Canis lupus familiaris: one gene and its partners. The protein of the gene in region 1 interacts with the protein of each later gene in a pairwise test. Links are inferred from orthologs where the notes say so. Each region holds a gene or a part of one and is shown in the gene's direction. Other genes may lie near its edges.

The links.
Region 2: the proteins of CEP57L1 (region 1) and MID2 interact in binary tests that used the Homo sapiens proteins (3 or more experiments, as listed by UniProt). The two-hybrid records come from large-scale screens. The link is inferred for Canis lupus familiaris from reciprocal best matches to the Homo sapiens genes CEP57L1 and MID2.
Region 3: the proteins of CEP57L1 (region 1) and KLC3 interact in binary tests that used the Homo sapiens proteins (3 or more experiments, as listed by UniProt). The two-hybrid records come from large-scale screens. The link is inferred for Canis lupus familiaris from reciprocal best matches to the Homo sapiens genes CEP57L1 and KLC3.
Region 4: the proteins of CEP57L1 (region 1) and RAD51D interact in binary tests that used the Homo sapiens proteins (3 or more experiments, as listed by UniProt). The two-hybrid records come from large-scale screens. The link is inferred for Canis lupus familiaris from reciprocal best matches to the Homo sapiens genes CEP57L1 and RAD51D.
Region 5: the proteins of CEP57L1 (region 1) and TXLNA interact in binary tests that used the Homo sapiens proteins (3 or more experiments, as listed by UniProt). The two-hybrid records come from large-scale screens. The link is inferred for Canis lupus familiaris from reciprocal best matches to the Homo sapiens genes CEP57L1 and TXLNA.
Region 6: the proteins of CEP57L1 (region 1) and KATNAL1 interact in binary tests that used the Homo sapiens proteins (3 or more experiments, as listed by UniProt). The two-hybrid records come from large-scale screens. The link is inferred for Canis lupus familiaris from reciprocal best matches to the Homo sapiens genes CEP57L1 and KATNAL1.
Region 7: the proteins of CEP57L1 (region 1) and CCDC136 interact in binary tests that used the Homo sapiens proteins (3 or more experiments, as listed by UniProt). The two-hybrid records come from large-scale screens. The link is inferred for Canis lupus familiaris from reciprocal best matches to the Homo sapiens genes CEP57L1 and CCDC136.

Annotation. Positions count from the first base shown.
Region 1 is NC_049233.1:66,409,266-66,413,543, forward strand, and holds the start of CEP57L1 (centrosomal protein CEP57L1), read left to right. Parts: upstream 1-1,478; 5' UTR 1,479-1,611; intron 1,612-4,278. Other genes in the region: SESN1 (sestrin-1), read right to left, coding at 1-48. UniProt on the Homo sapiens protein: Centrosomal protein which may be required for microtubule attachment to centrosomes.
Region 2 is NC_049260.1:81,967,037-81,971,027, forward strand, and holds the start of MID2 (probable E3 ubiquitin-protein ligase MID2), read left to right. Parts: upstream 1-1,191; 5' UTR 1,192-1,312; coding exon 1,313-1,316; exon of another isoform or gene 1,317-1,407; intron 1,408-1,931; exon of another isoform or gene 1,932-1,953; intron 1,954-3,991. UniProt on the Homo sapiens protein: E3 ubiquitin ligase that plays a role in microtubule stabilization. Mediates the 'Lys-48'-linked polyubiquitination of LRRK2 to drive its localization to microtubules and its proteasomal degradation in neurons.
Region 3 is NC_049222.1:110,906,957-110,911,097, reverse strand, and holds the start of KLC3 (kinesin light chain 3), read left to right. Parts: upstream 1-1,341; 5' UTR 1,342-1,384; coding exon 1,385-1,445; intron 1,446-3,955; coding exon 3,956-4,141. UniProt on the Homo sapiens protein: Kinesin is a microtubule-associated force-producing protein that may play a role in organelle transport. Plays a role during spermiogenesis in the development of the sperm tail midpiece and in the normal function of spermatozoa.
Region 4 is NC_049230.1:38,224,477-38,227,976, forward strand, and holds part of RAD51D (DNA repair protein RAD51 homolog 4), read left to right. Parts: exon of another isoform or gene 1-32; intron 33-214; coding exon of another isoform or gene 215-271; exon of another isoform or gene 272-641; intron 642-3,205; coding exon 3,206-3,370; intron 3,371-3,500. UniProt on the Homo sapiens protein: Involved in the homologous recombination repair (HRR) pathway of double-stranded DNA breaks arising during DNA replication or induced by DNA-damaging agents. Bind to single-stranded DNA (ssDNA) and has DNA-dependent ATPase activity.
Region 5 is NC_049223.1:68,417,954-68,421,995, reverse strand, and holds the start of TXLNA (alpha-taxilin), read left to right. Parts: upstream 1-1,242; 5' UTR 1,243-1,391; intron 1,392-1,929; 5' UTR 1,930-1,961; coding exon 1,962-2,139; intron 2,140-2,772; coding exon 2,773-3,111; intron 3,112-4,042. UniProt on the Homo sapiens protein: May be involved in intracellular vesicle traffic and potentially in calcium-dependent exocytosis in neuroendocrine cells.
Region 6 is NC_049246.1:9,766,045-9,770,135, forward strand, and holds the start of KATNAL1 (katanin p60 ATPase-containing subunit A-like 1), read left to right. Parts: upstream 1-1,291; 5' UTR 1,292-1,439; intron 1,440-4,091. UniProt on the Homo sapiens protein: Regulates microtubule dynamics in Sertoli cells, a process that is essential for spermiogenesis and male fertility. Severs microtubules in an ATP-dependent manner, promoting rapid reorganization of cellular microtubule arrays.
Region 7 is NC_049235.1:7,706,669-7,710,819, reverse strand, and holds the start of CCDC136 (coiled-coil domain-containing protein 136), read left to right. Parts: upstream 1-1,351; 5' UTR 1,352-1,371; coding exon 1,372-1,429; intron 1,430-2,170; coding exon 2,171-2,278; intron 2,279-3,897; coding exon 3,898-4,140; intron 4,141-4,151. UniProt on the Homo sapiens protein: May play a role in acrosome formation in spermatogenesis and in fertilization.

The DNA of each region.
Region 1 (4,278 bases):
TCTACTGCACAGCCCGTCCCATCTCACTTCACTGTCTCCTTCAGCCATGACAACCGGAGGGAGGGTCTCCTTGGGCCGCCTTCAGTTCCCCGTCGGCATGTCCCCACGAGCACTTGGTCACTTTTAAAACGAGGCACGTGAGAAGAAGAAAACCGGGGACATCGAGTCGCCGTGAAAACACAGCGGCCTCGGTGACATCTGGAACCACGAAGCGTCTTTTTGGACCGACGCGGGGCACAACTCACCCTTCTCTCCTACACGAAGGGGCAGGGCAGTCCTCTTGGCAGAGACACACGCACAAAAAAAGTTGGAAAGCTGAAACCCTGCAGCGCTGGCTTGGCCGGACAGGCCGCCTCGGGGAAGTGCGCTCCTCCGCCTCGCGGGGTCAGCGGATATCCTCACGTCGTGCAGCTGTCAAATCCCAGCTCTGCCCAGGAAGGCCGCTCGCAGTGGAAGGCGCCCCCAGCCATTCGGGGATTCTCGTCCGGGCGGCCACCGAGCTCCCGGGAGCATTCCCACCCCGCCCCTCCTCCGGCGCCAGGCCCTGCCCTCCGCAGCTCCGCCCTCCGCCTCGGCGGCCGGCCGGCAGCTGCCGGGGAAGCCTCGCCAAGCCCTCCTTGCTCGCCGGCCGCCGGGGTCGGAGACCCGGGCGCTCCTTGGAGGGGGGAGGGTGCGGGGTGCAGGGTGCAGGGTGCAGGGCGGGGCAGCCTCTGCAGCCGCTGCCTCGGTTGCAGCGTTGGAGGAAAGCGGCCCCGGCCCCGGCGACGCCGGAACCCCGGGCAGACGCCACTTCTTTTCCTCTACCTGCGTCCTCGCCCACCGCCCGCTAAGCCGGACCCGCGCAGGGCCGGGCCGCCGAGCTGGCGCACAAGCGAGGCCCCAGGCGCAGAGCCCGCCCCTTCGCCCAGCCCCATCGGTGGGGCTCGGCCCAGAGGGCGGGAGGAGGGAGGGGAGATGGGGGTCCTCACCCCCCTGCAGCCCCTCCCCTTTCTCCGCCCGGCATAAACCAGGAGCCGCCCCTGCCCCAGCGCCCTCTTCCCCGCCCAAGCAGACGCGACCCGCGGAGGCAAAGCCATTGGAAAGAGCCCCGCCCTCCGACGGGCTACCTCCGGACCCCAAGTCCGCGCCCGGCCGCCAACTGCAACCGGCTGCTACGCATGCGTGATGGCGAACAGAGCGCATGCGCCGAACGGACTTTTTTTTTTTTTTTTTTTTTTTGCGTCGGGGGCGTTTCCGTCCCGTGACGTACGGATTCTCCCGGCTCGGAGCCGGGGAAAGAAAAGTTAAGAAGTACAAGTACAATGAAGCTATTACGGAGAGAGGCCGAGCACGGCCAAGAGGGCTTAGACACACACCTGGAGGAAACCGCATCCTCACTTAAGATCAGCTTGGAAAGAGTGACGGTGTCTTTATTACGCCAAATCCGAGATTGAAGAAGGCAGGGGTGGGGGTGGGATGGGGGGGGAGGGGGCGTCGTCGCATTGGCTTCTGGGAAGTGTAGTTTTGATGTACCGGCGCGTTCTGCGGGCGATAGAAACTACAGTCCCCAGGAGCCCCTGCGACGTTGCCCGTGGCGGCCTTCGAGCCAACGGTTAGCGCGGACGGAGCTTGGTAAGCGTCGATTTGGGGAGCGCTGGGGGGTTTCGGCTGCCAATTGAGGCTTTTTTTTTTTTTTTCCTTCGTTTCCTCAGGGATTTTGGAGATCGAGGCATCTAGAAGATGGCCTCTTAAGTCCAGGGGGTTTTGTCCGGTGTGTCTGGGAAGGAGTAGCGCGGGCGCCCCGGGCGGAGGGCGCGTTGGGGCGCGAGGAAGGGATGCGGCGGGAACGGCTGCCCCGCGCGCGGCCTCCGCTCGCACCTCTGCCGGGGGGACCCGCGAGGGCGGCCTTAGGTGACCCCGTGCGCTGGCCCTGGCGTCCGCCTTTGCGCGGGGGATGTTGTGTGTTTTCTGCGCCCAAAGGAGATCCCGAGCAGAAGCCAGTTGTCAGATTCATTTTGCACGAGAGACTAAGGGGAAAAGAAGAAACCCCAGCATCCCTGGATGGGAACGTTTGCAGCCTTCCCCCCCCCCCCCCCTTAGGTGATGCTATTTAAAAAAAAAAAAAATCTCCCAAGATTTAGTATGTTTGTTTGTTTTTTTTAAGATTTTATTTACTTAATCATGAGAGACAGACAGAGAAGCAGGCTCCATGCAGGGAGCCGGATGCGGGACTCGATCCTGGGTCTCCAGGGTCACGCCCTGGGCTGCAGGCAGCGCTAAACCACTGAGCCACCCGGGCTGCCCGATTTTATTTTTTATTTATTTTATTTTATTTTATTTTATTTTATTTTATTTTATTTTTATTTTAAATTATTTATTTATTTATTTTAATTTATTTTATTTTTTATTTTAAAGGATTCATTTGCATAAAAGGTTCATGTTTGTTTGTAAAAAAGTCGTACCTCTGGAGAAAAGTCAAGGTGTGAAGGGCCGTCCGGTTCGTCAATGAGATTTTAATTCTCCGCATGGTGGGATGGATGGCGTTTATTACACCAGTGGAGCCGTGGAGGGGCCGGGGCGGCTCAGTTCCCCGGGTGGGGAGTTCGAGCCCCGTGTTGGGTGTAGAGGCCACTTAAATAGAAACTAAAAAAAAAAAAAAATGATAATGATAATAGTAAAGTCAAATAAGTTATTTTAGATAACTTAGTTAAATTTTAAATTATAATGATAATAGTAAAGTCAAATAAGTTATTTTAAACAGCGTACTTAAGTTTTAAATTTAAATTCCGTTTTTGAATTTTAGAAATTTCTCCTTGTGAGGTGCTGAGTATGCAACAGGGGGAAAAGCCGCAGCCCCCTCTCCAGTGATGGCATCTGGTAGTAAAATACACAATTACAGTACACAGTATGGTAGCTGGCTATCTGGGACGTCTAGAAAGAGGGTCTCTTGGCTTAATCCTGGAAAGTCAGGGAAATTCTTCATCCCAGGGAAAGAAGACCGGAAGAAGCCTATGGTGAGGCTCAGAAGGGAGAGAGAGAGACAGTACTTTCAGGAAACTGCAATAAGCCAAAATCCCCTCTATTTTGGGAAGGGTAACTTCCTGTGTGTTGATCTACTTTGAAGCCGCAAAGAGACCAGCCCTGTGAATTTTCCGGATGGTTTCTGAGAGTGACCTGACCTTGGACAGATTTGACAGTTTAAATGAATTAGTCTGATTTGAAAAGGCCTTGCTACTTTTATGCTACTTGGTTTAAATCTGATTTAAAAAAAAAAAAATGTGAACTTGTGAGTATGATTTCAAAAAATTTAAAAAGACATTCCTTTTTTGTCCTTTTTTGGGGCTCCTCCTCCTTGTCCAATGCATAGCGTAGTTTCTTAAATCTAGATCCCCTTTTGCCTGCATAGTTGAGTCTGCTCCCATCCATACACATGGTTCCACTGCCACCTGTGACTTGTAGACGTATAGCTCCATCCAGCTGTACCCATGATCTACGTAAGCACAGCCTTTTCCAAACTGCCGTAATCTGTTGCCAAGACCATTGTCATAGTGATTGTTCACTCTGGCCTTTCTCCATTAGTTCTCCACACTGGAGCCATACTGAACTTTTTGAAATGCACGTCCTGGCCAGACTTCTCTTAAAATCATTCATTGCTGTCTCACTATTCTTAAGGCAAAACTTGTTTGTAAAAAGCCTAATAGCCTCTGGTCTCTTTCCACCACTGCAGCCTCACTTCGTGTATCTACCACTCTCCACCTCTCGCTACTTCAGCCATACAGATCTTTCTTTAGTCGCTGGTTTTCCTATTTCCACCTAATTTCAAATTTCCAACATATCTGTTGAGTGCTATGTAATGGGACAAGTACATATGTCATTGAGCACAATATACATTGACACTTGAACAACATGGATTTGAACTGCACAGGTCTGCTTACAAATGGATTGTTTTTTGATAAATACAGTACACTAGTGTAAATCTATCTTCCTTATGGCTTTTGTAATAGCATTTTCTTTTTTCTAGCTTACTTATTTTAAGAATACTGTATATAATATGTATACAGAGTATGTGTTGCTTATGTTATCTGCAAGGCTTCTAGTCAACAGTAGGCTTCTAGTAGTTAAGTTTGGGGGGAGTCAAAAGTTCTATGGATTAAAAGTTGTGGGATTTTTTTTTTTTACTTCCTGGTGGGGAGTTGGCACCTCTAACCCCCCACGTTGTTCGAAGGTCACCTGTACAAAAGTTCCTACTCTCATTGAGCTTACATTCTATTAGGGAGAGATCAACAATAAATATATAAT
Region 2 (3,991 bases), on another chromosome or scaffold:
TTCCTCTCTCATCCTCTTTGTGAGTGGGGTGGTGGTCTCTGAGCCAATGACAGGTCAGCCAAGAGGCTGACTCCAGACCAATGAGGCTTCCGGGTTCCAGATGGACCAATTAGCTTATTAGGGACATTATACCTGGATGGCTGGCATCTGTCCTATTGTCCTGTTTAACGACCCTCTTGTTTTGCCCATCAAGGATTTGGATGTGCAGATGAGACTCTACTCTCTTTTGTTTTTCTAAAATTTTGGTGGCTTTAATCCATCTCCACAACTTCTGCCCAAGGCCAATAAAACACAGGCATTCTCCCTTTGTAAAAAGAAAGAGGGGTTGGGTTTCCTTCAATTGTCTGCCCTTTTATGTGTCCTCCACTATTTTTGTTTTACTTGGTAGTTAACTTTGCACCGGAGCGGCTTCATCTGAGAACCAGTGCGGTGGACCTAGGCACTCTCTTGTCGTTGCTGGTGGCGATGGCCTTTTCCTTGTTCTAACCTGGTGGCTTGTGCGATCAGAGGGTTGGCGGGTGGGAAAAGAGTTTGGCCATAGTCTTCCTTCTGCATTTCGTACACATTCTGCGCTCTCTCTCTCTCTCTGTCTTTCGCTCACACACACATACACACACGCGCTCGCACACACACGCCCGCTCGAGCCCCTCGGTGTGTCTTCCTTCAAGATGACAGGGCGCTGGAGAAAAAGCTGCTGGAATCAGCTGGTAGGTACCGTAGTAACCCGAACCCCACCCACCCGCTGCCTTGGCTTGCTCAGGTTTCTCCGGTCACTCCAGCCAGGGGAGAAAACCTGTAAACGCGCCTCCACAGGAGGGGCTGGGGGAGCTGGGAGCGGCGGGGGTGGAGGAAGGTGAGACCGGGAAGGTGGTCAAGCGCCCCTGGTACCCGGGGCCCTTCGCAGTGTTACCTCGGGGCGCCAGCCCCAGCCCTGTTTGCCCCCCACCCCCCTTTTCGTAGGGATTGCCTTTTTTTTTTTTTTTTCCTCTGCGGCGGCGGAAATGACAGTGTGGTGCTGCCGTGGTGTCATGGTGCTGCCCCTGGACGAAAGGGCTAAAACTCTTTAAGTTCGTCTCTGGAGACCCAGCTGCGGTAGCGTCGCGGCTGCCGTGCTGTCTCTCGCGGGGCGCGCGGGCGGGCGGATCCCGGCTGCTGCGCGGCGGCGGCGGCGGCGGCGAAGGCGGGCGGCGGCCTAGAGAGGCGGCGGCGGCCCGGGAGCTCGCGCCGGAGCCCGAGCCAGCTCCCAGCGGAGGCAGGCGAGCGCCCGGCGCCCTCGGGCGCGCCAAGGAGATGGCTGGCACCCGGGAACGCTATGGGTAAAACGCGCCCCCTCGCCACGGCCCCGAGAGCCGAGGGGCACCGCCCGCACTCGGCTCGACCCGGGCTCCGGTTCCGGCCGCCTCTCAGGTGCCATTGGGGCCCGGCACGGGGCCCAGGGCCCCGGGGCTCGGCGGGGCGGCGTGACGGGGCACCGCGAGGCTCGAGGTGGCGGTGTCGGCGGTGGGGGCCCCGGCCTGGCCTGGGTGCCCGTCGCTGCCCTCTTGGGACGGAGTTTGCACTCCGGGGTGTGGGGCGGGGGCGGCCCGAGGCCTCCAGCGCCCCGACTCGCCTGGCGCGGGCAGTCGAGCGGCTGCCCCGGTGCCTGTGCGTGAGTCTGGGAAAGGGCACCGCCGCCTTCCCACGCTCCCGCGGCCGATAGCCTTCTTGACACGGGCGGCGCCCCTCGACCGGCCCTCCACGCGGCAGTGGCTGCTGCAGCAGCCAGGGATGCTGCGGACACCCTGCCGGCGGGGAGGCCAGATGAAACTTACTCCCTTTTCTGCCAGGGGAGCGATTCCCGGGTCTCCGTCTGGGTGGTTCCTTATTTCTGGCCTAGCCTTGAAACCAGCTCAGTGGGAGAGAGGGAAAACTTCTCTATGTCCAGAGGACAGACTGCGACCGTACCGGGGAGAGGTAGGGTTTTTCCATTCCTGCCTCTTAAGAATGGAGTAAATAACGGCGGACTAGATTTACAGAAACAGTTTCGGTAATGATGAGCTTTAGGCCACTTAGCACTTTGTGTGTAGCACATTATTTCTTGGAGGCGTTTTGTGGTTTTGTGGTTGTGTGTGTGTGTGTGTCTGTTTGTTGTTGTTTGATTGTTTTTTTTTTCTTTTTTTTTCTTTATTGGTTCTCCCTCCCACCCAAACCCCACAGAGCAGGAAATTGGGATCCTGGGGTCTTGAGTTTTCTTCACTTTCTCTCTTCCATGCTCCCTTACCCTTCTTCGCAATCACTTGCCCTCTTCCTGCGTTGTCACACACCTACCTGCCCACCCAGGTCTCCCAGCAGAACGCACCGTCCCCCCCAGACTAACCCCCACCAACCTGCGTGCGTGCTCCACCTGCCTCCCAGCCCTCCAGCCTCTTGCTCCTCAACCAATTTGCCTTTTTGAGGATTTCTGAGTGTGGGGTAGGTGCATGGTGATGGTTGTGTGCCTGTGAGGAGGAGCCCTGATACAGGAATATAGTGGAAACTGTATAAAAAGACCAGTCATGTATGTGGTTGATTCCTTGGATTCTCTAGTTGGGCGGCAAGGGCTGCCTTGAACCCTATTCTGTTCCCTCCCAATGCTCTCTAATCACTTCTCTGGTGATGTTCCAATAGAAGGGAAATGCTGAATAATAGGGAGCTTCTCTCTCCTCCTTCTGGCTTGACTCTAGCTGATTACCCCAACCCTCACATGCCCCCTTTTCTCCCCTCTGCAATCCTACTGACTGCCCTAAGGGAGAAACAGTCTGCTATTTTTATATATGCCTGCCCAATCAATTACCTTAATATAGATACATAATGTGAACGAGATTTTTCCTGGTCGTTCCTCACAACTGGATTTCTGTGGTTGAAATATGGGTCTAGGAGTCAGGAAGATCAGAGAGTTTATCCCAAATCTGACATCACATTGGTTTTATGGCCCTAGGACATTCCTATGACCTTTCTTTTATACTTGGTGTACTTGTGTAAAAGGCATAATACTGTATACTGGGCATTTTGAGGCTCTGCTTGGTCTTTTGAAGATGAAAGGGTTCTATAAACTCTCAGCATTACGCTTTTCAAATAAAGCGCTTCATTTACCTTTTTATGGGGATAATAGCTGGACTGGGTGTGAGGAGGAACTCTGGTTTACTGGAAACCCTAACTTACCATCCTTAGCCACCCTCCACCCCAGGAGCCAAATCTATCACCATACTCAGGACTCTGTTGTTTGTTGTTCCTAAAGCATGTACAACTGAATGAAAACATGCATAAAACTAGGCATACGGAGTAATGGTGATTATTTTAAGTTGAAGCTTGAATCATATCTAATGTACTCCAACCTAACAGTCTGAGTCAGACTCATTTGCAAACATAACCTCACCCATTTTTAGCCTGTATGGGGGCAGTTAATTTCTACTGAAAAGCGGCATAAATAATTTTAGGCCTGGCAATAGGAGCATGATTAGCATCTAGCAGCAGTGAGTCAACAATATTTACTGAGCACCTACAGTGTGCAGAGTTCTCTGCTGATGGGGCCAAGTTCCAGGTCTTGGCCTTCATATTTGGCCTCCTCATTTGAGGCCTCCTTCCTTACCTGCAGCACCCGGAGTAGGACAGGGAGGAGCAAGACAGGGGTAGAGGCTAGGGAAAACAAAGGGCTGATTGGCTCCCTCTTTCATGACCACTAGATCTCACCTGGCACGTTGTACCTTGCACGGTCACCCTGGGAAGCCCTGCTACAGGCCCCAGTGACTTAGTTTCCTCATGACTCTATCATCTGAACAGCGCAAATTGAGATGAAATTGGTTTAGTTAATCCCTCCTCGGAGTGCATGGCAACTTGCTCCAACTTGCAGATCTTAAATCGGTGCCAGGGGAGTCTCATAATTGCATCCAAAAATTGCTCTGGGTAGTGAGCCCATCCATTCCCTCATCCTTCCATAAAATCTGCTGATGCCATGACAGTTGAGAAGGAAACT
Region 3 (4,141 bases), on another chromosome or scaffold:
ATGAAACGCCGGGACACCTGCACCCCGATGTTTCTAGCAGCAATGTCCACAATAGCCACACTGTAGAAGGAGCCTCGGTGTCCATCGAAAGATGAATGGATAAAGAAGATGTGGTTTACTATACAATGGAATATTCCTCAGCCATTAGAAATGACAAATACCCACCATCTGCTTCGACGTGGATGGAACTGGAGGGTATTATGCTGAGTGAAATAAGTCAATCGGAGAAGGACAAACATTATATGGTCTCATTCATTTGGGGAATATAAAAAATAGTGAAAGGTAATAAAGGGGAAAGGAGAAAAAATGAGTGGGAAATATCAGAGAGGGGGACAGAACATGAGAGACTCCTAACTCTGGGAAACGAACAAGGGGTAGTGGAAGGGGAGGTGGGTGGGGGTGGGGGTGACTGGGTGACGGGCACTGAGGGGGGCACTTGATGGGATGAGCACTGGGTGTTATGCTATATGCTGGCAAATTGAACTCCAATAGTTTTTTTTTTTAAAGAAAAAAGGGCCAGTAGGGAAGGCCTCTCGGAGGAAGCGGCCTTTGTGAAGCTACCAGACTAACGAATGGCGTCTGTGGGAATAGGGGGGGCCCAGGCAGCGGGCACAGCCGAAGGCAAGGCCGGGCGGCGGGCGCTGCTAGAAAGCCCTCGGCCTGGGATCCCTAGTTTCCAAGGGTCGAGCTGCGCTGCACCCCGGCTTGGCAGCCTCCAGCGCGCTGGGCTCGCGCTCAGATTCGACGGGCCCGACAGGCACGCGGAGGGCTTCGCGGGTCCGCTGCTGCGCTGGCGCTTCCCCCGCGGCGGGCGGGCTGGGCTCCGCGGGAGCGGCGGGGGGCGGGGCGGGCTCACCTGCGGGGGCGGGGCTTCCGCCCGCCCCGCCCCTCGGAGGAGCCGCCCGCGGCCCGAGACCCAGGGCGCAGCTGGGAGCCGCCGGGCGTGCGCGGTGTGCGGGACGCGGCCCGGCGCATCTCGGCGGAGCGGGTCCCGGAGCCGCCGGCGCTCAGGTGGGCCCCTCGAGTGCTGGGCGGGGGAGTCCCGGGGACCGCGAGGATGGGGGCGGAGGGTGAGGGCTGGGCCCCGCGCACCCTGGGGCCCGCTGGCCTGGCGACGGGGACGGGCCTTGGGGCTCCTGGGCCCCCTGGGCCCTCCTGCCCCGCCCTGGGGCCCCCCCTCCCGGGTCCCGAGGCCCAGCTGGGGCCGCGCCCCCTCCCCGGTGCGCAGGTAAACAGGAGCGAAGACGGGGCGGGGCCTGGGGGGAGGAGGGCGGGGGCCCTTGTGACGGCGGGGGTGGGGAAGCCGGGGTGCGCGGGGCTGGGCCAGGCCGGCCGCGGTAAGGTGTGCGGTTTAGGGGGCTGGCCTGCAGGTGCGGGCGTGGAGATGGGGCGTATGAGAGGCGGTGTGCGAGGCTCAGGTGTGTGTGATGGTGTACGAAGCTCAGGTGTGTGCGCGACGGGCTCCGGCGGTGGGTGCGGGCGAGGAAGGGACAGGGATGGTCCGTGTAACCGTGTGCGGGCGCCCAGGGACTGTGGGAACGACGTGGAGCTGTCTCAGATGCAACACGTGGGCGGACCTCTGTGCGTCTAATGATGGGGGTGGGGGCCGTGTGTATGGGAGGGAGTTGCTCTGTTTATAGGATTAGGTGCGTGACTCAGAGCTTGCGTGGCTGGGGCGGTCTTTCTGCCTGTTAAGGCGCGGGGAGCCGCAGGGAGGTGGGCGATGTGGGACCCGCATGGACGGGGAGGGTGTGCCTGGGATTAACACTGTCAGCTGTGCGGTTGTACGTGTGTGAAAGGGAGTTTGTTGTTCACGGGACTGAGTGTGGGCAAAAATCATGGGAATAATGGAGCTGTCTGAATGACTCCATGAACGTGTGATCGTAACTTTGTGGGGCTTGTGTGTGACACGGAGTATGGTGAGACATGTACACACATATATACGTATAGTGAGAGAGACTGGTGTCTGCACACACGTATATGTAGAGATTGATGGCAGGGGAGAGCCTGCAGTGTAGAAAATCCGTGGATTATGTGCCTGCCTTCCTGTGTGTCTTGGTGTATGATGTTCGTGAGCAGGTAAGTAGGTACCCAAACCACTAGGCTGCTTACGGCGCCCTGGTGGCTTGAGTGAGGCACATGCCCGAGAGGGTCTATGCAAACACCTCTCTGTGTCTCCACAACTGAATCTGAGTTCAGGAATTGTCTGTATGTCCGTGTTTGAAGCTCTGTGTATCTGTGTGTATGCTGTGTGCAGGTGCGTGAATCTCTGGCTGGCCGGGCAAGGTGTTGGGGGAAGTGGGGAAGGAGATGATAGGTCCACAGTGAATCCCAAGAGTGTGTGTGTGTGTGTGTGTGTGTGTGTGTGTGTGTGTGCGCGCGCGCGCGCATGCGTGCCTGGAGGAGGTGATGGGCATGTAATGGAGAGCTAGCTGCTTGCAGGACCTTATAAGTGCGGGAAAGGTGTGTCATGGGGGTAACTGCAAAGAGATAGCCTGAATGTGAGTGATTTGGGATTTGGTTATCTTTTCACTAGTGAGGGGGGACAGAGTTTCTGTGTGTGTTGGCTTTTTTTCCCAAGAGGAAAATACACCAGTGTGTGGGATTATATTTCCAAGAGGGGAGAGCATACATGTGTTGTTTCTGAAAGAGTATGTGGGTGTGCGTGCACGAGCCTGAGTAAGTGTGTTGCGTTTTTTTTTTTTTTTTTTAAGATTTTATTTGAGAGAGAGAATGAGCCAGGGGAAGAGCAGAGGGAGAGGGAGAAGCCTATTGTGGGACCCAATTCTGGAACCCCTGGATCATACTTGAGCTGAAGGCAGGCGCTTAACTGAGCCACCCAGGCACCCTTGGATTAGGTTTTTTGAAAGGAAAATGTGGATGTGTAGGATTGTATTTTTATTTTTTAGAGGAGAAAGAGAGTGTCCTGTATGTCTTGCTTCAGAGAAAATGTATATTATGTTTTTAAGAAAGAAAGGAGTGTGCATGTTGAGCCGTCTTCTTGTAGAGGGGAGTGTGTGTGTGTACGAGCAGGTGTGTTTCTGAGAAAGTACGTATATATTGCACTGCATTTGAAAAAAGAAAGAGCAGGTATTCAGTTTCTGAGAGGAGGAGAACGTGTGTGTCGCATTGTGTATTTAAGAAGGGAGGGTGTGCGTGTGTTGGGGTCTGTTTCTGGGAGGGGAGTGAGTGTGCTTGTGTGTGAATACAGAGGCTACAGAGGCTCCAGCAGCTGTGTCATTGACTTTGTCACCTACATACAACCACATAAAGTGCCACACATGAGACCCCCACCCATTAGCATCTAGGCCTCAGACTCTGAGCTGTCACAGGGCTAGTGTGACATCCATGGGCCGTGCCTGTCACACGTGTGTCCCAACATGCCTTGGGCTGGCGGAGCCTGTCTGCAGTGGAGGGTGGAGTCCTTGTTCCCTTGGGATCCATCAGGCCCTGGGAGCTGACACACAGGCACCCCCCCATCCCCCTAAATCTAGAGGGCTCCTCTGCTTCCAGTGCCCCAGCCCCTTGGCCCTCTCCTCCGGCCCCACCCCTCCAGCCCCAGTGGTCCGACTGGTTCCCAACAAAAACACCCTAAGAATGAGCTCACGGAGAGGCCGCCTCCACATGCCCCGCCCCACACACCCAGCAGAGGCGTGTGCCTCCAGTCCAGGTCACACGGGGAGTCCTGGGGCCAGGTATCTGGGGCCCTTGGGATAGACAGGGCTGGCCAGGTGAGCTGAGGGCAGGTGAGAGGCCACGAGACCACTGGTTGCCCCAGATTTTGAGTGGCCCTCAGGGCAGGGCCCATGGCTGAGGACAGGCAAAGCTAGACTAGAATGTTTCCAGTTGCCAGCTGGCTGGGATGGGTGCGGGACAGGGAGCCGGCCAGGGTGAGGAGGGACTGATGGGCCTGCTTGCCTGGCCCTGACCCCCCAATCCCTGCTACCCACCCCAGGAACAGCAATGTCCGTGCAGGTGGCAGCCCCTGGAAGTGTGGGGCTGGGCCCGGAGCGCCTGAGCCCCGAGGAGCTGGTGCGGCAGACGCGACAAGTGGTGCAGGGGTTGGAGGCCCTGCGAGCAGAGCACCATGGCCTGGCCAGGCACCTGGCGGAGGCGCTGGCAGGACAGGGCCTGGTGGCTG
Region 4 (3,500 bases), on another chromosome or scaffold:
TTGCTGGTCTTCTCTCTGCTCCCTGGGCTGTGCTGAGATGGGGGGACATGGATTCGATTTCTAGTTCCAGCTGTTTGCTTCCCTTAAATGGCAACGTCTGAACCCCCAAAGTGGCCCTTCTTCCCTGGGCCATCTAGAGCACTGGACTGTGTTGGGGTCAGACATAAAGAGCCAAGGGGTAAAGGACAGCCTCGGTTTTCTTTTTTACTTTAAGACAGATCTATCTAGGTATAATTCACACAGAGTAACTCCTCGTTCGAAGTTTGGCTAACAGATGCTAATGTATCCGGTCTCGTTACCCCGGCATAATCAAGATCTAGAATATTTCGGTCACCGCAGAGAGGTCCCTGAGCCCCAGACAACCACTGATCAAGTGTCTGTCCGTATAGTTTTGCCTCTTCCGGTGCTTCACAGAAAGGGATGTTTTTGCTTTCAACATCACTTTTTCTGCTTACAGAGTACTTTTTTAAAAGTCTGCCTGTTTCTCATAGAGTAAAAAATAGTTAAATATAAGAGACAAATGTGTAGTAAATCTCCACATCCACAGAAAACATATTAATATTTTTTATATATCTCCATAGGATCTTTTTAAAATTTTTTTATTTTTTTAATATTTATTTATTTATGATGGACATAGAGAGAGAGAGAGAGAGAGAGAGTGGCAGAGACGCAGGAGGAGGCAGAAGCAGGCTCCATGCCGGGAGCCTGATATGGGACTCGATCCCGGGACTCCAGGATCCCGCCCTGGGCCAAAGGCAGACGCTAAACCGCTGAGCCACCCAAGGATCCCCATCTTTTTATTTTTATTTTTTTTAAGATTTTATTTATCCATTCATGAGAGAGAGGCAGAGACACAGGCAGAGGGAGAAGCAGGCTCCCTGCAGGGAGCCCCATGCAGGACTGGATCCCAGGTCTCCAGGGTCACGCCTCTGGCAGAAGGTGGCGCTAAACCACTGAGCCACCTGGGCTGCCCTCTCCATAGGATCTTTACTCTCTGCATATATATATACATATACTTTTAACCAGCTTTCCAATTAAACTGTAACCTTATTTAAAAAAATAACTCATTTCATTCCACTTCCCATGTCTTTAAATAGATGCTTTAAGAATGCCATTTTTAGCAGTTACATATTTTATGTAATACCTGTGTTAGGGATCCCTGGGTGGCGCAGCGGTTTATCGCCTGCCTTTCTTTGGCCCAGGGCGCAATCCTGGAGACCCGGGATCGAATCCCACATCGGGCTCCCGGTGCATGGAGCCTGCTTCTCCCTCTCCCTGTGTCTCTGCCTCTCTCTCTCTCTCTGTGTGGCTATCATAAATAAATAAAAATTAAAAAAAAAAATCTTTAATACCTGTGTTACTGGGGGTCAGCAAACTTGTCTGCAAAGGGCCAGACAGTAAATAGTCGAGGCTCTATGGCGATAACATTGACGTCACAGCTCCTCAGCTCCACCTGGATTGCGTGAGAGCAACCACAGACAGTCCTGAACAGAGGGCGTGGCTATGTTCCAGCCAAACTTGATTTTCAGAAACAATTTTGGGGCCATATTTGGCCTGTGGGGAGTAGTTTGCTAATACCCTGGTATCCCATAATGATCTATTTCCTCATTTGGTGCTTGGTAGGTCATACTGGTTTTCCTCTATTTTAAGTAAAACTCTGGGGTGCCTGGGTTTTATACATTGGACTCAATCTCAGGTCATGATCTGGGAGTCCTGAGATTGAGCCCCATGTCGGGCTCTGTGCTCAGCAGGGAGTTTGGTCGAGATTCTCCTCTCCCTCTGTCCTTCCCCACTGCTCACATGCTCACATTCTCTCTCTCTCTCTAATAAATAAATCTTTAAGGAAAACTCTAATGAACACCTTTATACCCTAACTTCATTGCACATTTCATATTATTCCTTTATATTATTCCCTCAAGATTTCAGTAATCTAAAAGTATAATAACTGAGTTAGGGATACACACATTTTTATTTCTTATTTTATTTTTTAAAAAGGTTTTATTTATTTGAGAGAGAAAGAGTAGCAGAAAGAGAGGGAGCACGAGCTAGGGTGGGCTTTGGGCAGAGGGAGAGGGAGAATCAGACTCCTTGCTGAGCCAGGAGTCCAACACGGGGCTCAATCCCAGGCATCCCGGGGATACACACATTTTTAAATATGTAGGTATGATATCGCTGAATTTCCAGGAAGGTCATACTAATTTCTACACCCACCAGCAGTGTTCTTTTGTACTTAAGTTGAGTTCTAGGGCTTCTCTCTCCTGACTTTAGGATGTACGTGATCTGCTTGTGCCCCTGCCCCTGGTTGGAGGGCTGGTGGGGAGAATCTCATTAAAAGGGTGCCGTAAAGCTCAGGTTGCCTGCCCATGACTATCCTGGGCATAGTAGAACTGACTGACCAGACTATGACCTCCCTTTCAAAGCTCGCACGACTCCCCTACACACAGATGTGCTCCGTGACACAAAGCACGGGGTGCATGTGGCTTCAGAATGCCTGTCTGGGGATGCCTGGGTGGCTCAGTGGTTGAGTGTCTGCCTTGGGCTCAGGGCATGATCCTGGTCCCAGGATCGAGTCCCACATCCGGACTCCTTGAGAGGAACCTGCTTCTCCCTCTGCCTGTGTCTCTGCCTCTCTCTGTGTATCTTTCATGAATAAATAAATAAAATATTTTAAAAAAAGAAGGCCTGTCTGCTGGGTTGGGGATAGGAGGCGCAGGCCCACCACTGGCTTCCCATCAGCAGAGTGCATACAGCCCTGCTTATTCCCAGACACATGCCTGTTACCTTCTGCTGTAATCAAGCCTGAGACATTGTGATTTTTTTTTTTTAAGATTTTATTTATTTACTCATGAGAGACACAGAGAGAGAGGCAGAGACACAGGCAGAAGGAGAAGTAGGCTCCATGCAGGGAGCCCGATGTGGGACTCAATCCCAGGACCCAGGATCATGCTCTGAGCCAAAGGCAGACAGATGCTCAACCACTGAGCCACCCAGGCATCCCAGACATTGTGATTTAGTGGAAAAAGTTAAACACAAGTGAGGACCCAGGGGGCTAGTTCCAGAGCTGCTGTCAATAACTTTGAGAGCCTTGGAGAAGTCATTTCTCTGTGCTGGGCCTCAGTCTTGCCACTTAAAGAATGAAAAAGCAGTAGGAACAGATGTCCTCACACTAGCATTATCAATCTGGAAATCTTTGATTCTGCTTCAGGTGACCAACCACATGACCCGAGACAGGGACAGCGGGGAGCTCAAACCTGCCCTTGGACGCTCCTGGAGCTTTGTACCCAGCACCCGGATTCTCCTGGACATTGATGAAGGAGCAAGAGCATCAGGCAGTTGGCGCAGGGCGTGTCTGACCAAATCTCCCCGTCTGGTGAGCCTGCCACAGGGGAAAGCTGGGAATCTGGGCCTTTGAGGGTGTCTGCATGCCCAGAATTCTTGGATGCTGAGAGTTGGCAACCAAAGAGGCTTTCTGCTTGGATAGCTTAACTCAAAAACTTAAC
Region 5 (4,042 bases), on another chromosome or scaffold:
TTACAAATGTTAAAGAGTTCTATCCAAAAAAAAAAAAAAAGGCTCTATCCAGACCTAGAGAGCTGGGACAGACTACAGAGCACTGGGAAGGGTCTGAAATGACCTTTGTGCTAGACCTCAAAATACTAGTTTTGCCAGAAGGGCATTTTGGAAACTGGACTAGCACCTGCAAAAAACTTGGAAATCCTGGAAATAGAGTATAGTGGGAGCAAAAAAGGCAAAGGGCATGGACAGAACTGACTGGAAACAAAAGCCAAGCCATTTACACATTAAATTCCAGGCACAGGGGTTGGTAGCTTTTATTCTATTATGTATAGACAGCTGAATATAGAACTGTGATCTCACATTTAGAGAAAGTTTGGGTTTTTCCCCTTGAGCCCATGGCAATTCCGATTTTGTCTGTAGAGGATGGGCCAGTCAGAGAAAATGTTCAGGAATTGGCTGAGGCCAAAGTTCTTGCAGAGCCCTGTCAACCCCTTCCAGAGAAGGACTCAAGCTGGTAACGCAGAGTTGGGGCGGGTGGGGGGAATAATTCCACCAAATTACCTTGACTCATCCTTTGAGAAAGTGCCATGGTGAATTTCTTCTGGGTACGAGTCAGGGTAATCCAGGAGGTAAAACGGAAGACTTTCTGATTTTGAATCCCTACTCACTACTCAATAGCGATGGGACAAGTTATTTAACTTTTGCCTTACTGTCCTCAGATGCAAATGGGAATAAAAAATAGTACTGAGCTTAGTAAATAGGCGGATTAAGCTAGTAGGTGGGAAAGCACACTGTAAGCAAAGAACTACTACTGTTATGAAAAGTTTTCATTTGAATACGGAAAATGAGGCCTGGGAAAGAAAAGAATGGCCCCTCAGCGAATTCGCGATGAAGTTAGAACTGGAATACAGGTCTTGATTCCCAGCCCAATGCTCTATCCCTTGTCATCAGAGTTCCTGGTCATAGATGTTCACAGCAGAGGGTTGAGGCTGGTAAGGGCGTGCGGGAAAGAACAGCCAGGCACAGGGCTCTGGACCTGAATCATAAATTCTGCACGACAGGAACCAGGCGGATTCCAGTATTCGTGCAGAATGACTAGCTCCTTTCAGACCTCCTGGGTATCCGCCTCCCAGGACTGAAGTCCTTTCTATTGCATCTTGGGAGTTGGGGGTCAGCCGCGGTGCATGGAGGGACATGTAGTCCTTTCCCTCCCCCTCCGCCTGCCCAACTCACCCGCCTCAAAGGCCGCCTCAGGCTGCCTTCGCTTCATCTTTCCCAGCAAGCCCCGCGAGAGCGCCGGCTATTGATTGGCTGTGGCAGGAGCAGGCGGCTTGGCCGGCAGCGGTTACCCAGGGTTTCCGGTGCGAGGCCAGAGCGGGCGAAGCCGTCAGGAGGTCGGCAGTGAGGTGCGTGTTGCGGAGGTTTGGGGGGAACAAGGCGACCAGCAGGTCGGTGGGCCTGAACACTCTCGGTCGGTGGAGGGAATCACGCCGATTCCGCGCGAGGGAGTGGGCTGGGGGGGGCAGGGCTGGTCCTGTGCGCATGCGCGGACGGGAGGCGCGCGGGGCGTGGGTGGCTGCGCGCGGGGGGGCCCACGTGGGGCTTGGGGGCCGGAGGAGGGATGGGAATCGAGCGTCCCGCCACGTCAGTCTCCGGCCCTGAGCCTATCCCGCGCTCGGCCTGTGGTAAGGGGGCTGTGTAGTGCCGGGAAGCGGCTTCGAGAAAAAGGAGGCCTCGCCTGCCGCGCTTCTGAAGCAGCGCCCCGAAAACCTGCCTGGGCGCGCCGTGCTCCTCCGACTGGCCAGAGAGAGAACCGTTGGCTCCCTCTGGTGAGGGACGGCCAGTGTGTCCTAAGAAGCTTTGTGCACCCGGGATTGGGATTTCGGATCCAGGCTGTGAAGAATTTTGAAGTCTGGAATATAGCGAGTGTGCTTGTTTCTATAGGATCTGTTTCCAGCCTAGCATTGCAAACCACAATGAAGAACCAAGACAAAAAGAACGGGGCTGCCAAGCAGTCGGGCAACACTTCCAACCCAAAAAGCAACCCGGGGCAAGCCGAAGTAGGACCAGAGGGAACCCAGGGGCGCCCCAGCCAGCCGGCTCCTGCGACAGAAGCTGAAGGTTCCTCCAGCCAGGCTCCAGGGAAGACTGAGGGTGTGTGCCATTTCTGCTTTCCAGCGGGCAGGGGGAGGAGTTTGTGGTGCGCCAGGATAGCTTCTGGAGTTCCAGGCCTAGGCCACTGTTTACCCAGGAAGGAGGAAATGTAGAATGAGAGGAGGACTGCCACCCGCAGATCCCTCTTTCCCCAGGGTGTTGATAGAGCCTCCCACTCAAAGCACAGGAGCAGAACTCTTAAGAGAAGGCTCTGACAGGGTTAAGTCAGGTGGCGCTCAGATGAGACACCCAACCAGCTAGCCCGGCTTAGAAATGCTGCATTCACCAGTGGGCAACTACTCTTCATGTTGGAGGCTTTCTTAGAACTTTTTTAATAGCAAGAAATGATTTTTGCAGGGAGGGGAAAGGGAGGGACTAGATGTTGAGCTCCAGGTACATGCCATCCCTATATGCTGGATGCTTTATTTCCTTGATTCCTTTCACATCTATAACAGACATGATTGGGCAATAGTGGGAAATAATCTTATTTTATGGGTAAATAAACTAAGGCTTAAAGAAAGTAGGCAACATTTAGCCCCAACCAGTAAGTTTGGGCCTGAAAAATCCCAGCAAATGGAATTAACCATCTTGTTTCTCATTTCTCATTCTGCCGCTCATCTTGCCCTGCCACAGGAGCACAAGCCAAAACTGCTCAGTCCGGGGCCCTCCGTGATGTCTCTGAGGAGCTGAGCCGCCAGTTGGAAGACATCCTGAGTACATACTGTGTGGACAACAATCAGGGGGGCCCAGGTGAGGATGGGGCACAGGGTGAGCCTGCTGAACCCGAAGATGCAGACAAGTCCCGGACCTATGCTTCAAGGAATGGGGAGCCTGAGCCAGAGACCCCAGTGGTCAATGGTGAGAAGGAGACCTCCAAGGGGGAGCCGGGCACAGATGAGATCCGGACCAGTGACGAGGTTGGAGACCGAGATCACCGAAGGCCACAGGAGAAGAAGAAAGCCAAGGGTCTGGGTGAGCAGAGGGCAGCTACTGGTGAGGTGGGGATGTTTGGGCTAACCTGCTGTCCCAGGATTCAGAGGAAATTACTTTCTGGAGCACCGAGTCACATTAGTTTGATCCAAGCAAGGGGTGTGGACCGTAGAACAGAGGGGTGTAGATGGGATCCTGTGTCAGCCAACACTATCTCTAACCTGCTCTGTAAACTTGGGCAAGACCTTTCTCCTTTCTGTTCCTTAGTTTTCGTTTCTCTACAGTAAGATTTGGACTAGCCCAGGGTTGAAAACACAAATAAGCCAAGTTAGACAGGGGACCCTAGGAGGACAAGACATTGCCTACTTCATCCAAAGGGGTGATTGCCATCTGGTCCCACCATGCTGATAGCATATAATACTACAGGCTAAGTGTAGCCAGCCTTTTTTTTTTTTTCCCCCCCTCATTCTTTTTTCTCCTTTTTTCCCCTTTGTTATTATGCAGTTAAGTGAAATCTCTCTGGATTTTTAACAATTGGCAACTGAAGAAAAAAAAAAAAAAAACAATTGACAACTAATATGCTGGGAGCCAAACAAAACTCGTGTGGGTTTTGGCCTACGTGCTAGTGCTTTGCAGTCTCCACACTGATCTTTCGAGCCTCTTGGGTTTGACACTTCAGGAGCCTGGTGCTGTGCTATGTACAGGAGCCCTCCAGGGAGACAGAAGGAAGCCCCTTTGACTGAAGCACAGTGAGAGAAAGTTATTGGGGGCAGGGGACTAGTGTGTATGTTAAAGAATCAGAGTTAAGTGATATTATACCTGTGTCTTAGTCCTTAATTCCCCACCCTCTGTTTGTCATCCTAATGGAAAGGGTTTTTTTTGTTTGTTTTTGGTTTTATTTTGTTTTGTTTTTTAAGATTTTATTTATTTACTCATGAGAAACACAGAGAGAGAGGCAGAGACACAGGCAGAG
Region 6 (4,091 bases), on another chromosome or scaffold:
TCATTTTCCTCATCTGCAAAGTCTGGAGATTGGACAGAGACCATCTCCGTGGTTTCTATTAGAGTCTACAGCTCTAATAACGATGTTACAGATGCAGAGAACAGACTGGTGGTTGCCAGATGTGGGGATTGGGAGTAGTGGGTGAGGAGGGTGGTCGAAGGGTACAAATTTCCTATTGTAAAATAAGTCAGTCCTGGGGATGTAAGGTACAGCCTGGTGACCAAAGTTAACAACACTGTATTGTATATTTGTAAGTTGCTAAGACTGATCTTGAATTATTTTTATGTTTTTTTTTTTTTTTTTGAGGTACATTCACCTACAGTGAAATGTGCAGATTTTACGGGTACTATTCCATGAGTTTTGACAAAGGCATATGCCTCTGTAACCCGAAGCCTAAGGAAGAGACAGAGCTTCTCCATCACTAGAGAATTCCGTCTTCAGCCGCACCCCAGCCTCCCCTCCGGCCACCCCTCTTCTGACTCTTACCACGAAGGGTTAAATAAGATTTAAACATTGTTAAATGCCAGTCTTTGTTTCACAGTGGTCCATCGGTATCGACGCCCTGATTTCTCCAAGGCACTGGGCACTAGACATCGTCTCCATTTTGCAGAGTAAGGCGTTCCGCATCCGGGAGTGAACTGCCCCCGGGGATCCGCTGCCCCGGGTAGGGGCAGGGCGGGAACCGAGAAGCGGTTCTGCGGTTTCTACGGTTTCTACGGCCCCGGCCCCGCACCTCTGAGAAGGCTGCTGCAGAGTCCACAAACCATCACCTCAGGAATAGCATACGCCTCAAACGTTCAGCCCAAATCGGCGCCTCTTAGGCGTTCTCAGACCTCAACAATCCGAAAGGCCGTACGCTCTACACCTTACTAAGGGACTCCTCTCCACCCTGCTCCTCCGAAAGCGGCAGAGGGTGTGCAACACTGCAAATGGGATTTTGCTGGTGGAAAGGCCAAAGGGGGACGGGCCGGCCCGGGCCCGACGACCTTTACGGAGCCCGGCGGCGAGACGCCCGGCGCTGCCTCCTCCGGCGCCACAGCTACCGTCTCAGAATAGAGCGGCACCGAGGCGCTCCGCCGACCGCAGCGGACCAGCGTCCGGCCGAGGGATTGGCCGCGGCCGCGGCAGGGCTCGTCGGGCAGTCCCCGAGCTCGATCAGCCGCGCGTCCTCCTCCAGGTCACCGCCCGCCCCTCTCCGCCTCACCCTTGCGCCGCCCTTCCCCCGCACCCGGGCGGGGTTCTCAGGCTCCTCCCCCGAGTTGACTGTGAGCCTCTGTGCTCCCCCCACCGCTCGCCTCGCGGCTGCCATGGCAACCGTACGCCGCCGCCGCCGCCTCTTCACGCACGTCGGGAACTAACGGACTCGGCGGCCGCAGAGGCCTGTGCCCTTCCCCCAACCGGGCCGCATCACCAACCGGCGGCCGAGCTGCGGCACCTAGGTAATGAATCCGAGGGAGAGGGGCGCAAGCAGGAGAGCAGGTGGGGGGGTATCCAGGCTGACAGCCCCACCCAGTGTCCCGCCGCCTAGGCGGTGCGGCGGCGCGGCGGTCGGGGCGCCGGCAGGGGAGGTGGAGAACAGTGGGAGCTCGAGGCTCGCGGGGCATTATGGGGATCGTAGTTTAGCGGCCCCGCAGGCTTGCGGCCGTGGCGGCGTGGCCTGGACCGGCGAACTACAAAGCCCGGCGGCCCTGGCTGCTGGGAAAGACCGATAAACTTTGAGCCTACCGGGCCAGAGAAAATCTGTGTCTTTGTGGTGCTGGGGCTCTTGGGTGGTCGCCGAACTGCGCTCTGCGCTGGGAAAGGGAAGTGGAGGTGAGACTTGGGCTTCCCGTCCTGCCGTTTGGCCCGCCCCGGTTAACAGCGCTCAGCCCCACCCCGACTGGGCTGGGCCACCGCCCCCGGTAGTCTCGGTGATGAGCAGCCGCCCCAGCTGCAGGGCCTCGGGCCTGCGGCGCCTCTGACCCTCCCAGGTTGCTGCTGCCGCTCGGTGCCGAACCGTATGTATGGCACACATTTGATGGGAGACCGAGAAACGGTTTTTTTTAACAGGCCTTTCTCCTTTCCCTAATACGTTTATTTTTAGATATTTAATCATGTTTATTCTGAAGTAGCTCGGAGGTGTTTGCATATTAAAGCCATTAATAATTACTCAGAGGGCATTAATATTTAAAGGTCAAGTGTAGAAGTAGAGACCATGCTATTATATAGTAATACCTTAAAAAAAAACCGTTCTGCCTTTTGCGTTTTATTTATTGAGGGTCAATATTGTAAAATGAGCCCCCCTCACCCCTACTTAATACTAGCTTGAACATTACCTACACATATTTGAAGATTAATTTAGCTTTAAATTACTAGTGATTTTTAAAGCACAGACTGGTCTTTTTTTTTTTTTTTTTTTAAAGCAGTGAGTAGTAGTAATTATTTTCTTTGATTATTTTAATGTTCTTTAGAATTTCTCGGTAGCATGTTTTCAGAATGAAAAATGCCGTGTTCTACTTAAAAAAAAACAAAAAACAAAAAACTCTGCAATACACCTTAGTCCTTAGAGTTGGCTCAGGCCTTGGTGGTAAGGAAGCCCACCAGATTTAAAAAACCTGCCTTGATTATCTTTTAAAATTTTTTCAACAGGTAGATAACGATCCTAGAAATTTGGTATTTTATAGAGTATGTGGAAAAAATTGATAGTAGAGTGGTCTTATTTTGTGTGTTTTACATCATTTTTTTAAAAAAGAATTTATTAGCACAAGCAGAGGGAGCAGCTGAGGGACAGGGAGAAGGAGGCTCCCAGCTTAGCAGAGCTTCTTGATTCCCAAGACCCTGAGATCATGACCTGAGCCAAAGGCAGACACTTGACCAACTGTGTTTTATTTATTTATTTATTTTTAAACTTAAAAAAAAAAAAATTAGTTTTGAGAGAGAACAAGTGGGAAGGGGCAAGGGCAGAGGAGGAAACAAACTTTCCACTGAGCAGCAGGGAGTCTGATGCAGGACTGATCCCAGGACCCTGGGAGCATGACTTGAGCCAAAGGCAGATGCTTAACTGACTGAGTCACCCAGCTCCCCAGACTGTGTTTTAAACAAGAAAATAACACAGCGCCCCTACAAAATTCCCTTTTTCTCAAAATAAGACTGGCTTGTAAATTTTACTTAAAGTACCAATTTTTTACAAGGATATGGAAAGTAAATTTTGTAAGACCATTATAAAAAAATTGAGGCCTTATTAGGGGTTGGAAGCATTTTATTTGTTTATTCAAGATTTGTTAAGAACCTATTATATTGGGGACACCTGGGTGCCTCAGTGGTTGAGCGTCTGCCTTTGGCTCAGGGCGTGATCCTGGAGTCCAGTGATCGAGTCCCACATCGGGCTCCCTGCATGGAGCCTGCCTCTCCCTCTGCCTGTGTCTCTGCCTCTTTCTGTGTCTCTCATGAATAAATAAATAAAATCTACAAAAGAACCTATTATATTGTATATTATGCCTGGTAGTGGGAATAAAAAGATGATAGAAGATAATCTGTGTTCTGTATGAGCAAACAGTTACATCATCACAATAGTATGATAGAGGTAGGTGCAAGTTACTGTAGGATCCCAGAGTGGGAATAAATAGTCATATAACATTTAACTGTTATTGAATACTTAATTTTAGTGAGGCTCCGTGCAGTATTTTGCACGTAGCCCATTATTTAATTCTCATAAAAATTTCTAGCTACTGTTATTTAGAAATGAGGAAGCAAACTAAGAGATCTTGTCCAGAGTCATAGGTGATAAAGTTTGAACCTGGGATTTCAACTCAGGTGGGGTATAACTCATTTAAGTCATGATCTCAGCCCCTGATGCCATTCTCTGTACCCATTGGTAGAAAGATTCTGACCCTAAGGAGATTAGGGGAAGTTTCCAGTATGGTGTGACATTTGACTTGTGTTAAGAAAGTTGAGTAACCTTTCAATGGAAGAGAAGATGAGGAAAGTCATTTTAGGCAAATGGCAAAGGATAATTTCTAGTGGTTTGTGTTTGCAGAACCCTAGGTCTTTCTTATACCTCAGTCCCAGAGTATGAGTACTTGCAGTGTAGTGGGTGGAAGATGGTAAAGTAC
Region 7 (4,151 bases), on another chromosome or scaffold:
CTTTGTCAGATGCTAGACATACACAAATGACTAAAGTACTTCCCAATCTTCCAGAAGTTGGGCAGACACAAAAGTAAAAACCTGACCTTGACAAAGTGACAGGTGCTACCCCAGGAGTAAAGAGGACAGTGTGGAGCACAGCAGGCCTCTACTGGTCTAGGGGTGGGCATCAGGAGAGGCTGCCTAGAGGTGACTCCTGACTGAGGGTTGTAGAATAAGTAGGTATGTCTAGGCAAAGGAAGGCTTCTTTCCTGAAGAATACAGAGGGCTTGTGAACACAGACAATGCACGTCCATAACCTGGTGAGTGGATAGCCAAGAAAAGGGATTGGTGTGTGTCCCTGGCTCAGGAATCTCCTAACACTTTCCTCGATGCATTGGGACTGCCTGGTTCCCAAGTGTATCCACTTCTTTCCTGGGTGAGACCTGTAGAGACCTGAGAACGATTGCCTCCTCTGATCCCGCACCAGGTAGATGTGCCCTGAATGAACGATTACGTGAAACAAGCCCTCTGGGTTTCCACGTCTCCCTTGTATGAGAGTGAAAATCAGCAGTGCCCACTCGGAACAGGCTCCAGAGGCAGGGTGGGTGGAAGTCGTGCATCGCAGCTCCTTGGGTGTGGGGCCAGGGGGGAAGGCAGAGTGGTGGAGGGAAGAGGTCTTCAGGCAGTGAGGGCTGCGAGGGGCCAAGGCACCGCCCTCCCGAGGGGGTTCGGGCTCTGGCTTGGTTGGGGCGCGGGGAAAGCAGGGGGGTCAGGGCCCTGCGGGTCACAGATCTCGGCCTTGGCTTCCCTTCTCCTGCCTTGACGCGGTCAGTCCCGGGACGCAAGAGGCCACCGCGCGGGGGTGGGGGCTGCGGCCGGGGTCCGCGCTGCCTGCGGAGGTGGGGGACGCGGGCCCCGCTTGGCGGGCGTGTGTCCGCGCGTTTGGAGGAAACAGCAGCGGAGGATGCGTCCAGCTTTGTGCTCTTCCTGCCCCATCCCCGCGCGGGACGGGGCTCGTCTGACACTTGGCCCCGAGGGGTCTCCGCGCGCAGCCGGCCCGGGCGGGACCCTTCGCCGGAACCAGGCGACCTCGCGGCCACTCCGGGACGGCCTCACGCTCCGAGGGCGCCCCCGCCCCCGCCCCCGCCCCCGGCCCCCGGCCCTGGGGTGAGTCTGGGGCCGGGCTCCGTCGCCCCCCGCGCCCGCTCGCCGCCCGGGTCCCGGAGGGCGGTGGAGCGAGGGCTTCCGGGCGGGGGTGGCGTCAGGTGGCCCGGCCAGGCCCCGCCCCCTCGGCCCGCCCTCCCTCCCCTGCGCACCGGCTCCGGGTCCCCGGCCTGGCGGCTGCGGCGTCTCCTCCGGGCGGCGACGGCAGCGGCGGCGCGAGCGGCCATGGAGGCGGGCGCCGGGGCGGGCGCGGGCGCCGCGGGCTGGAGCTGCCCCGGCCCAGGTCAGAGCCGCCCCTCCCTCACCTCTCCGCCGCCACTCCTTCCTCTTCTCCATCTCTCCTCCCTCCAGACCCCCACGTCCTCGCTCTCCCCCCTCTCCCTCCGCCGCTCCCACCTTTCCGTCCTGTCTTCCTCCCTCATCCTGCCCCTCACCCCGGGCCCGGTCTCCATCTTTCCGGGCTGGGTCTTCCCCACACCGGTCGCATCATCCCCTGGCGGTCTCTCGCCCTGCACCCCTCCACCCCGTCGGTCCGGCCCTGGGCCCCAGACCCTGCGCCCCCTCCGGCCGAAGGCTCGGAGCGCAGGGCGAGGATGGGGTGGATGGGTCCAGGCAGAGAACGGAGCGGAGGGGAGCGGCCCCGGCCCGGAACCCCTTGCCCCACGCATCCCCCCGCCCCGCATCCCCTCCTTCCCCTCCTTGCACCACCTCACCCTCTCAGCCTCTCTGCCCTGGCTCTCGCCCGTCTCCCTTCACAGCTAAAGAGACTGTGCTGGGAGAGGAGCCTGGAACTGGGGATGCCGGGGAGGTTGGGCAGCGCAGGGCGGGATCCCCGCAGGCCCAGCTCGAGGGGCGGCTGAGGGAGGAAAGTCGCAGCCGGGGCCGCGTGAGCCGAGCACTTCCACCTGGATTAAAAACTCTGGGGCTCCAGAGGGCTAGAAGGCACGTCCCCCTCTCCCTCCTGTGCACCCCAGCCCCCAGCCCCCTTAGTAGCCCACCGTGCCTCCTCTCTTCCTACCCACAGGACCCACAGTGACCACTTTAGGCTCCTATGAAGCATCTGAGGGTTGTGAGAGGAAGAAAGGCCAACGCTGGGGGTCCCTGGAGCGGCGGGGGATGCAAGCTATGGAGGGTGAGTTTTCCCAAAGAGCTTTCTTTCTCTCCCCTCAGCCAACTTCCCTTCCTTCCTCCTTACCCCATCTGGTCCCCAGAGCTCCCAGCCAGGACAGAGCCCTTCCTGTAGCTCACCTGAGCCCCCTCTACCCTTCAGGTCTGAAATCTACCCCTCCTCAGGGCTCAGGCTTTGAGGGAGGTTCTGGGTGCCTCCCTTTGGGGCCCTAATCACCAGCTAACCAGGTTGTGTGTCCCGGGGGGAGCTGCCAGACAGAGAAAGAGGCCTCGTTGGACAGAGCTTTGAAGCAGGCCTTTCAGCAGGGGGTTTGTTCTCACTGCCACCCGACCCAGATCCCAAGCTGTCTCATATTTTTGAAAAGCAGGGAAGTGAGCATGTGAAGTGAGCATTGTCCTTCTGGTGCCACCACCACTAACTTTGAATGTAAGCCTTTGTGGCTTTGGTTCTCTTAGGATCCCTTACAGCCTGAAAGAATTGCCTGGGAGGGGGCAGGTGAGAAGGCCAACCTCCCAACACTCATGTATCCCCACCGCACCCATGTTACTTGACAGTTGCTGCCAACACCAGACTCCTGGAAGGATGCTGATCCGTTTCCCAGGACTCCCTGTGAAGTGTTCCCAGGTCTCCACGCACACTGTGTGGGCAACCCTGCTCCTTTAAGGGGGACAGATGACACAAGGGGTCCCAGATGGACCTTAGGCTGCTGTCATGAGACCAGGGATTCAGAATTGTAAAACAAAGCAAATAATCAGTATCCTGACAAAATGTCGCTATTTCAAGGAACTGCATTGCAGCAAAGGAGGGGGTACTCACCAACCAGAGGCTGGGGACCAGTGCACCCCAGTTTCCTGATGCATTAAAATGGTAGGCTTTTTTTTACACACAAGTACAGCCTTGGAACTGAAACCTGAAGTTTCCTTCAGGTTTGGGGAGGGAAGTTAGGAGGAGGGAACTCATAACACTTGAGGAAGGGAGAGGCCTCCTAACAGCAGAGAAAAGGAAGTGGACTCTGCAGAAAATTTCAGAACAGCCATGTGATAGAATACATTTGAAAGGGCCTCAGTATTGGTCCAGTAAAACATTTAAAATCACTTCATTCAGATGTTTTCTTTTTCTAACTACCGATAGGCAACCCTTTCTTATTCTGGAAAAGCTAATTTCTTCCAAGCCACCTGGATAATTTTTTAACTTTGGACAAACCCCAGACTTTAACTCTTGTCCCATTTGGCCTAAAGACACGGCCAGCATCTGAATCCTTTCTTGAGTACTTGTCCCACTATGCAGAGACCACCAGGACTGCAAGAAGCATGTATCCTTGTGCAAGCTCACATAGCTAACCAGCACCCAGCTGCTCAGTTTGCCCGAAGTCAGTAGCAAGAGGCCACCTGGTACAATACTGGTCCAGGAAGGGCCTGGGTGGGGATGGGCTACCTCCAAACTTGACCCTTACACCTGAGGACTCATCACCGAGTGCAGGTCCTGCCGAGGGGGCTCCTTGGGGGACACCAGGTGGCACTATTATACCATCTCTGCCCTGGGACAATGAGCAGAAGGGCCCTTGAAGGACTCTGGAAAAGAAGTTGCCTCTGACCCCCTGGTGGGATGGGTTTCTCTCCTAGGGGAAGTGTTACTCCCAGCTCTCTATGAGGAGGAAGAGGAAGAAGAAGAGGTGGAAGAAGAGGAAGAGCAAGTGCAGAAAGGTGGCAGTGTGGGCTCCCTGTCTGTTAGCAAGCACCGGGGTCTGAGCCTCACAGAGACAGAGCTGGAAGAGCTGCGGGCTCAGGTGCTACAGCTGGTGGCAGAGCTGGAGGAGACCCGGGAACTGGCAGGGCAGCATGAGGATGACTCCCTGGAGCTGCAGGGTGAGTGCCTG